Linked DNA regions of Drosophila melanogaster. The protein of the gene in region 1 interacts with the protein of each later gene in a pairwise test. Each region holds a gene or a part of one and is shown on either strand. Other genes may lie near its edges. The genes, in order: CG1138 and scramb2.

Region 1 (3,854 bases):
GCAAAAACTTTGCTAATCTGACGGAAAACAAGCGTATTCTGCCAAAAAGCAGCGCAGTTGACTTTGATGCTGGTTAGACCGCACTGAAATTCGTCAATTTTCGAAATGCCACCGAAGAAATCAAGGCGCAACAACAGCCTCGTGGTAAATATTAATTTAACTTTGCACATTAGCGGAGCAATGACACTTGACTGCGGAGAACCTGTGGCACCACATCTCGTTGGAAACTGGCCACAAATGTTGGTGGAACACTAAACCCAAACCGCCCCCCGTAGCACCTAAACAACCAACCCCCCCCCCCTCCCAGGGGAGGTAAACCACAGTTATTTGTCTATTTGCCTATGCGAAATTTGATGCGCTGTCTGCTTGTGCTTTTTTTCTCATGGTGGCGATGCTCGCTCGCTGTGTCTCTGCTGTTCTGGTCCTCATTATCGTAAATTTTTATGCTAAATACATTTCGTTGTTGGACCCAAAGATACAAACACCAAAACCGAAAGCGACAAAAGAAAATCCTGACCCTGGGCGTCAGAATTGGGATGCTCTTTTAAAAATGGACCCAAATTAAAGAGGACAGTTCACCCTTAATAAGTAGTAAGAATGCAAAAAAAGTATTGAAAGAAATGATATTTAATGTAAATATATTTAAAACGTAATAGATACAATTTCTTACATATATCAGTTGCGTACAAAATATATATACATATATGTATATACATATAGAAATTATAACATTTTTATATTATTTTTCTTTTTTGGCCTACAGGATGCCGAAACACATCGCATGTAAGAAAATACATGCTCTTCCTAGTCAAATGTACATTAGGGTACCACCATTTGTGGCAGATGCCGTCCCGTGGATGCGACTCCTCCGATGACCAACATAATCAAGGAATTCGCATATGGAGGGCCGGCCCGTGGATCCTGACAAATTGAACAATTTAAAGAGGGCTTTGTGGGTTTATTGTGGACGAGCTAAGTAGGTCTGTGTGCCGGTGATACAAGAGCTTGGGCGGCTCGTGGTGCCGCCTTGAAGTAAGCCGAATCGGAGTTCGAAAAAATATAAAAGTATTAAAGGTCTGAACGAATGGATACACAGGAATTTTTCACGTTCTGGAAGATTTCACATTTTTTGTTATTTATCACGCTTGAAAGATAATCTTGCAAATTTTCCGCGGCTGTTTTTAAAGAGATTGTCACCCTAGCGGCTTCCTTCCGAAAAGGTTTGTATTCACTCTTTAACATCTGCTTTTTAAGTTGAGTTGTTATCATCTCATTACTTTTTTCTATAAATTCATAGAACTCCCTGCCAGTATACTTATCTTGGTCCAAGAACCTAAACCGTTGAAGACATAGTCCTTGATGTTTTTCGAATTTGAGCTTAAAGGAGTCTAGTTTTTGAATTTCAATCTGCAACTGATCCCCTAATTTCTTGCTTCTGCAGTATTCATCCCGTACCAGTTTTTTGGCCAGATTGGATGATCTTCGGACGGATTGCATCTGAGTCAGTTGGTGCTGTAGTTTATGGCTTGCAAACTTCAGCTGAAGAATTTCGGGATGAACTTCCTTTACATTTGTCAAAAATATATGATCATCCAGGCAGGGATCTATTTTTGGGCATTCCGGTATATTGGTACCTAGTTGGTAATTGAGTCGATTTACGCGCCGCTTTAAGCGAAACACCTCATCGTAAATATCTTCGAGTTCCAGATTGCTTTTCTCGTTTGATTCTTCTAGAACTTCCTCAGCGATCCAGCAATCTTCGGATTGCAAAACACTCTGCATCGTGCAGTGAAACACTTTTTTTGGCCCGTTATGTTTGAATGCGAACTTTGATTGTGCCAGTTTCTTATCATTTGGTTTAGTGTTTTCCATTTTACTTATTCCTGCTGCCTTGCACGATAAATTTTGGTCCACTGATTGCAGTATTGGTAATGAATTCATCTTGAATTCATTCCTCCAAATTAACCAATATCCAATTAACTGTGAACTTCAAAACGGAAACTAACTCGGTACACAACGAGCACTTCCAGTGTTTTCAAATCATCTAACACAAATCTCAATGAAGGCTTAGATAAAATATCGTATATATCGATCTATCTATGGGTTTGTTCGATCTTTTAGTTGGGTACGTGCAATTATTATATCCTTTTTCAAAGCGTCCCTTAATTTGTAGTTTTAACTACAACTAATGCAGTCTTCAACGCAGATATATACGCAATATATAAAAATGTTATCGGCAAGAAAATCCACTGAAAAATTTGCTCAACTCCCATTCACGGAATTTCAAATCCTAACAAAAAGCCTGCTTAATGTGAATTTAAAATACCAAAATGAAGACGGAAAAAGTTGGGATACTATACTGTCCCAAATAAAATAGCAAAAACATAAACTTATTTATATATAAATACAATTATAAGGAAAATACATACTTATGTTGTTATTTAAGCCAGGTTCTAGACACTCTGAACTCCAAAAATGTAAGAAGAGTTTGGATGCAGTGTGCACTCAATGGGTAAGCTCACATTATTGAATAGATTTTGCGGAAGGCAGAAGCTTTCCTTTTCACTGAATGACAGCGGAAAATGAAGTGAAATCTAATTAAAACCCTTTGCTAAAATCACAATTGTCAGCGAAAGCTCACGCACACCTGCTCGCAAAACTCACGAGCACACAAACACTGACACAGACAGATGGACAGACACCGGCGATTCCCATACGCAAACAAATAGAGGATCCGATTCTGAGCCCGAGTGGGGCGGTCCTGGCAGGTGAAAAACAGACGTCAGCTGTCCAACTACCCGAATGCGGAATCTGGTGAAAACAGTGCAAAAGTTTTGACCAGAAATAAAAGAAAGGCGAACTGTACTCGGCTTTGGAAGCCACCACCACTTAGTGATGCCAAAGAGAACCTGTGTTTGTAAGATTATTACTAGGAAAACCAAACTTGAATAATACCAATAAATATACAGGAAAGACAGGACAAATCCAATTTATGTTACATGTTTTGGATGTCTACATCACCCATGAAACTCCGCGAATCTAGCCATTAGTTAAATGGCTTAATAAAAATTGTTTATGTTTATTAGGGTAAATCATTGACAGTTTCATAATTTGATTGTAAATGATGGTAATCGGTAGCTTACAATAAGCTGGCTCACCTTTTTTTTTAAGATTTCTTAGGATAGGTAAGTGCCATCTCTGATTTGAATCTAGATGCCACGGGGTGAGGGGCACATAACCTCCAGGAGCGAATAAAACGCGCTGTTGCACACGAAAAATAACAAGCTGCGTTGGTCAATTCATCGAATGTCGGTCAGGGCTGCCGCCAGGGAGAAATGGATTGGGCAATGGGCACTGGGCAATGGGAAGCAGGAGCCCGGAGGTGGGTAAGACCACCTGGGCGGAGGTCCATGCAGGGGGCGACATAAAAGTTTCACACCCAGCCATTTGGCCATCAGTGTCCAACAGAGCCGTTGGGCCGGAGTTGCTGTGTTTGAATTAAAAGAAATTAGTTTAGTTATGCCAATGCTCCCCGGGCTACGCTATTGAGTTATCGGCCAGGCAGGAGTGGGACAACTTGGTGCCGGTGACAGGAGGCAACTCGGATGGATAAATTGCAAGTTTTCCCTTACAATTTTGAGTGTGTGCTGCTTGTCCTTGCGTGCCTGGAATTTCAGAAAAAATAAACGCTTTGCGTGTTGCTCTTCTGATGTCGTTTAACCATTATGTGGCATGAATTTGCCATTTTCATTTAAATGCTGCTCTTGGCAGCGAGTCAACTCGTTGGCTTTTTAGCGACTGTTCTGCATTCATAAGCAGCAATCGTATATATCCTGCGGAATGTACTGAAATTG
Region 2 (5,087 bases), on another chromosome or scaffold:
TCGAGGGCACCGCCGTGGTTAATAAGGAGATTGTGAAGCTATCATTGTCCCAGTATCTAGGGAAATATGTGGTGCTACTCTTCTACCCACTGGACTTGTAAGTTTACATTTACATTTAGTATGATCGCATTTCTCATTGCCATTTTAGCACCTTTGTATGCCCAACGGAGATCATTGCCTTCTCCGACCGCATCGCCGAGTTCAAGAAGATCAAGACCGAGGTGATTGGCGTCAGCGTGGACTCGCACTTCACCCACTTGGCCTGGATAAACACGCCGCGCAAGGAGGGCGGCCTGGGCGACGTGAAGATCCCACTGCTCTCCGATCTAACGCATAAGATCAGCAAGGACTACGGAGTCTACTTGGAGTCCAGCGGTCATGCGCTGCGCGGTCTCTTCATTATCGATCAGACCGGAGTGCTGCGACAGATCACCATGAATGATTTGCCCGTGGGACGCTCTGTGGACGAGACTATTCGTCTGGTTCAGGCCTTCCAGTATACGGACACCCATGGAGAGGTTTGCCCAGCAGGTTGGCGGCCAGGTGCCGATACGGTAGGTTTTTTGAAGCATTGCCTTAGGTAAATTCTTTTTGATACCATTACCTTTACAGATCGTTCCCAATCCTGAGGAGAAGACGAAGTACTTTGCCAAGAACAACTAGGGACAGATAGAGATGCACATTACCTTAGTAGCCTAGCCCAGTTACATTCCTAATGTTCACGACTGAATCACGATGCAAACGAACAATCGCTAGAGTCCTCTGTACAGAAAATCCAAATCCGCAATGCCACCGATTGTGAATATTTCGCATTTGCTTTGTACAAAACATAGTTTGTTTATTTTACAGCATAACTGAGATATAAATAAATTCATGAAGTACATGTGAAGGTGATGAAAATTGCGCGGCGCCACAGGAGCGGTACCAAAAAGGAGGAGATGTTTTCGATCTCAAAATGCCTTGAAAGCTGGCTCACTAGGCCACTCTAATGGGTAACAATTCGATTGCAATTAGTTTCATACAAAAATATATGTAATATGTAATATGTAGTAGGTAAAAGGTAATAGTAAATTAGTTAGGTACGCCATGGTTGCAATTAAGTTATCCTGTGCTCCGACCTATGCGTACAACAAAGCTAGGTCTGTCGAGGTATATAAATCTGGGGAAACGGGACGGGGGCGACGACAATAACTAGGACGTCATAAGGCACTCGTTCTCGTCGGATTCTTCGTGTGTAGTCTGCTTTCTGTTTTCCGTTTTGTGCGTTTGTCAGTAAGTGCTTCATTGTGGTGAGCTTTAAATGCCAAAACCGAGGTTCATAAAATAACGAAGGTGCAACTGCGGTTCAGATCCAAGTTGTGCGGGAGATTCCTTTGCTGCGGAGATTCCGTATCGATCAAAGCGTTGCACTGTTCAGATTCCCGGAAACGTTAATCAAATAAGGGGTTAAAAAGTTCTTAGAGCTATGACCATGCAACACGTCGAACCAAAAAGCAGTCGGCGATTATAATGTTTGGGCGTTTGTTCCTTTAGAATGCGATTCATCATACAGCCTACTGCTCGTAGTAAACCGCGTCCTGGAATTAAGACAAACACAAATCAATGAAGGGAAACGAGTATATAGCACTGGCATATGCTTTATTTCACTCAGTGATATATATGATATACTGATATACTCACAATCAAAAAGAGCGCTGCGAATATGAGCGCCTTCATGCGGACATCCAGATTCAGGGGGAAGGTGACGCTGAAGTAGTCCGCATCGGTGAACAGCTCCCTTCCCAGTCCGGACCATTGTTTGCTGATTTTGCCGATCTCCTCGTTGTTGGCGCTCAATACCTGTGCGCGGTTAAAGGGGCGAGAGATGTTTGCGTTTCGCATTAATCGGTTCGCAGTTCGCGGCATCGCAATTAATTGACTCGCTCTGGACAGTCAGGCATGGCTAACCATGACGTCACTGCCTCGGACTGCAGTCTCTTTGCTTCTGTACGATCACAGCAGCGGTCAGTAAAAGGGCTCATAGATCGGCACAAACACTTGGTGCATTTTAGCCATAAAAAGTATAAATTGATTGATTGATTTTCCTATATCTAGAGGCATCTGTTAAATAACGTATACAATTGAAAATTTAAAACTAGTGTGGGTGCTATTAATTTGAACGCTTCTGTCTGTTCATAATTATTTAGAATATATGTATATAGGCACTTATAAATGTTTAATAATTAAAAAAGCAATTAAGTGGACGCCTGATACTGTTCATTTTGGAATTTTATAAAGCTTCGTCTTTGACTGATGAAGACCATACATATGTACTCCTCCGAAGAATTTAAAGCTAATCCGCTGACCGCTGCTGTGTGTGTATACACTTGTTTGGGCATTGGGAATCGAGATCGAGAGCCAAGAATAACCACTTGTTGGCTGCGTACTGACCTTGAAGTTGGTATCGCTGAAGCACTTGCAGGGACAGACGGGTCCCTCGATCTGCAGGACGGTATCGCCGCATGTGTTCTTGATGTTGAACTTGGGCCGCATGAAGGTGCAGACCTGCTCAACGCTACCGATCACCTGGCCGGGTGGCGCCGACACCTCCACGGCGTTCATGCAGCTGGGAAAGCAGCAGAGGATGTCGCACTTGAAGGGCCGGTACAGGTGGAGCACCTCGTTCTGAAAATTGTCCAGTATCTTCATCTCGAAGGGGCGCGACCGGCCGAGCATGTTGCGGGTGCAGCAGTCGCTCTCCTCGTACGCGAAGTACACATTCTGGCCCAGTGAGTTCTTCACCTTGAAGCGGTTCTTCGTCTCGAAGCCGGTGAGCAGCTCCAGTTTCTCGATCTTCTGCGACACGAGCAACTGGTCCAGAGCGGTCAGGTATTCCAGTCCCTGCGGGCAGTTGGGCATGCCCACGGGTATCGACATCCAGTTTTCTGCAATGGGGCGTTGTTCCGGATTAGCTCCCTATGTATTTATATTTATCTATATGCATAAAGTGCTTTTCCGATATCTATGCATGGGTAAAGGAAATTAGCATAGCTACAATGGCGGTCAGGCGATTAGGGCCAGTGATAGCAGTTCTTAACATAAACTAATATTTTAAACAATATGTATTTACGTATTGACTTGGAATCACTTCACTTTTTGGTACATTATAAAATATCTTTTTTACATAGATAACTATGGGTGCTATTGCCATGCCCGCTGCTGTACTAAATGCCAAGAAAGAGACGACGGCATTTCCGCCTTTCGCACACGCCCACTAGCCCACACAGACGCGCGCAACCGACTAGGTCCATCCGAGTGATGGAATTCAACAGTGGACAAATCCATATATGTCCATCGCTACGCACCAGGTCCGTTGGCATTGTTGCCAACATTCGCCGCCTGCGGCTGCAGGACCACTGCGCCATTCTCGTCCTGCGGTGCATTCTGCGGGAGCACCTTGTACTCGCTCATCTGCATCATTGTTATTCCCAGCAATTAAATTCGTATCGGATTCTTTAACAGTTCACAAAACACTAAATGCAGGGTGACCGCGTTGCGAACGCCGAAAAATGCAACGCAAATGCACCGTACGAAATATTCTGTCATATATTTTGGTATTTATTCGAACACAGAAAAATATCAACAAAAAGCTTTCAGCACTCAATGCAGTGACAAGTTAAATTTGTTATGAGCTGACGTTTTTGTGGATTCATTTGTATTATTGCATTGTATTGCAATAGTTTCCTTAAGCTAGCCTCTTTAAGTTCTAAGAATTTTGAGTTTATTTGTGCCAGTTGGTATATTCGCGCCTGCCACCGACGGTAACACTGCGGCTATGATTGGATGATAAGCGATCCATAAAAGCCTGGACACAAAAGACCTGAAACATGCTGCTTGGCAGCCGAATCTCCAGTCGAAATGAGCGAATCTCTTGATAAGACCACCAGCCCGAGCTCGGCCAGTTCCAGGGCCACGCCCCCGGGAACGCAGGATGCGGATGAGGGCCACGACGTGAGCGATACCTTCTACACGAGCCAGCGCAAGAAGGGCAGCCACGTATTTCGGGTGCGCCTTGACGCCACAGGATTCACCCTGCAGCGGGAGTCGCCGGGCGGTAGCATTGTTAAGGAGCAACATGTCCGCATATCGGACATTGTGGGTGCCCGCTGCATGCGGCCCAAGAAGAGCCGGCGCCTGGCGATGTCGGGCGCCTGTGCGTGCAGCTCCGGTAATCCCAATTCGCCAGCCATCTCGGCGTCCGGCGATCACCATCGCCCTGCCACCACACCAAGCAAATGCAGCACCAATAGTCGGGATAATATTCCTTCGGATGGCGGCGATGTCAGCGCGTTTCTCTACGTTTTTGCCTATGTTCTGAAGAAGAGGAGCCTGCGGTCGGAGTTGCACCGGGAGCGAACGGTGCTCACTCTGCGCTTCCGGTCGTTCGACACCTTCGAGGACAACATGAGGGAGGCGGATCGTTGGTACAGATCCCTTCGCTGGCAGTTGCATCGCACGCTGGAGGAGATCTTTGTGGCGCCGACGGTGGATGAGCGACGCCGTCGAGTGCTTGTGCTGTTGAATCCCAAATCCGGTTCCGGTGACGCTCGTGAGGTCTTCAACATGCACGTGACGCCGGTGCTCAACGAGGCCGAGGTGCCCTACGACCTGTATGTAACCAAGCATTCCAACTTTGCCATCGAGTTCTTGAGCACCAGGTGCCTGGACGCCTGGTGCTGCGTGGTGGCTGTCGGCGGAGACGGTCTCTTCCACGAGATAGTCAATGGACTGCTGCAGCGCCAGGACTGGGCCCACGTCCTGCCTCATCTGGCACTGGGAATCATTCCTTGCGGCTCCGGAAATGGATTGGCCCGCTCCATTGCCCATTGTTACAAGTATGTTATCTTTGTTTCATGTTTCATTAGGAAAAACCCCCTTTTGACTTATGTGGATCTTCATATTTCGTGTAAAACAATCCCTCCAGCGTCTAGCCATGCAGTTTATCATTAGATTACATTCATAAGCAAAAGTAGTTTTCTTATCGTGTCAAATGGTTTTGTTGTTTTGCAAGTGGGGATATCCCCTTAAAGTTAAATTGACGTCAGACT

The links.
Region 2: the proteins of CG1138 (region 1) and scramb2 interact in a two-hybrid assay, tested with the Drosophila melanogaster proteins (one large-scale study listed by BioGRID).

Annotation. Positions count from the first base shown.
Region 1 is NT_033777.3:6,595,996-6,599,849, forward strand, and holds CG1138 (uncharacterized protein), read right to left. Parts: upstream 2,028-3,854; 5' UTR 1,942-2,027; coding exon 1,069-1,941; 3' UTR 630-1,068; downstream 1-629.
Region 2 is NT_037436.4:3,043,293-3,048,379, forward strand, and holds scramb2 (scramblase 2), read right to left. Parts: upstream 3,521-5,087; 5' UTR 3,460-3,520; coding exon 3,345-3,459; intron 2,925-3,344; coding exon 2,431-2,924; intron 1,840-2,430; coding exon 1,681-1,839; intron 1,578-1,680; coding exon 1,554-1,577; 3' UTR 821-1,553; downstream 1-820. Other genes in the region: Prx4 (peroxiredoxin 4), read left to right, coding at 1-97, 149-554, 613-663; Sk2 (sphingosine kinase 2), read left to right, coding at 3,898-4,874.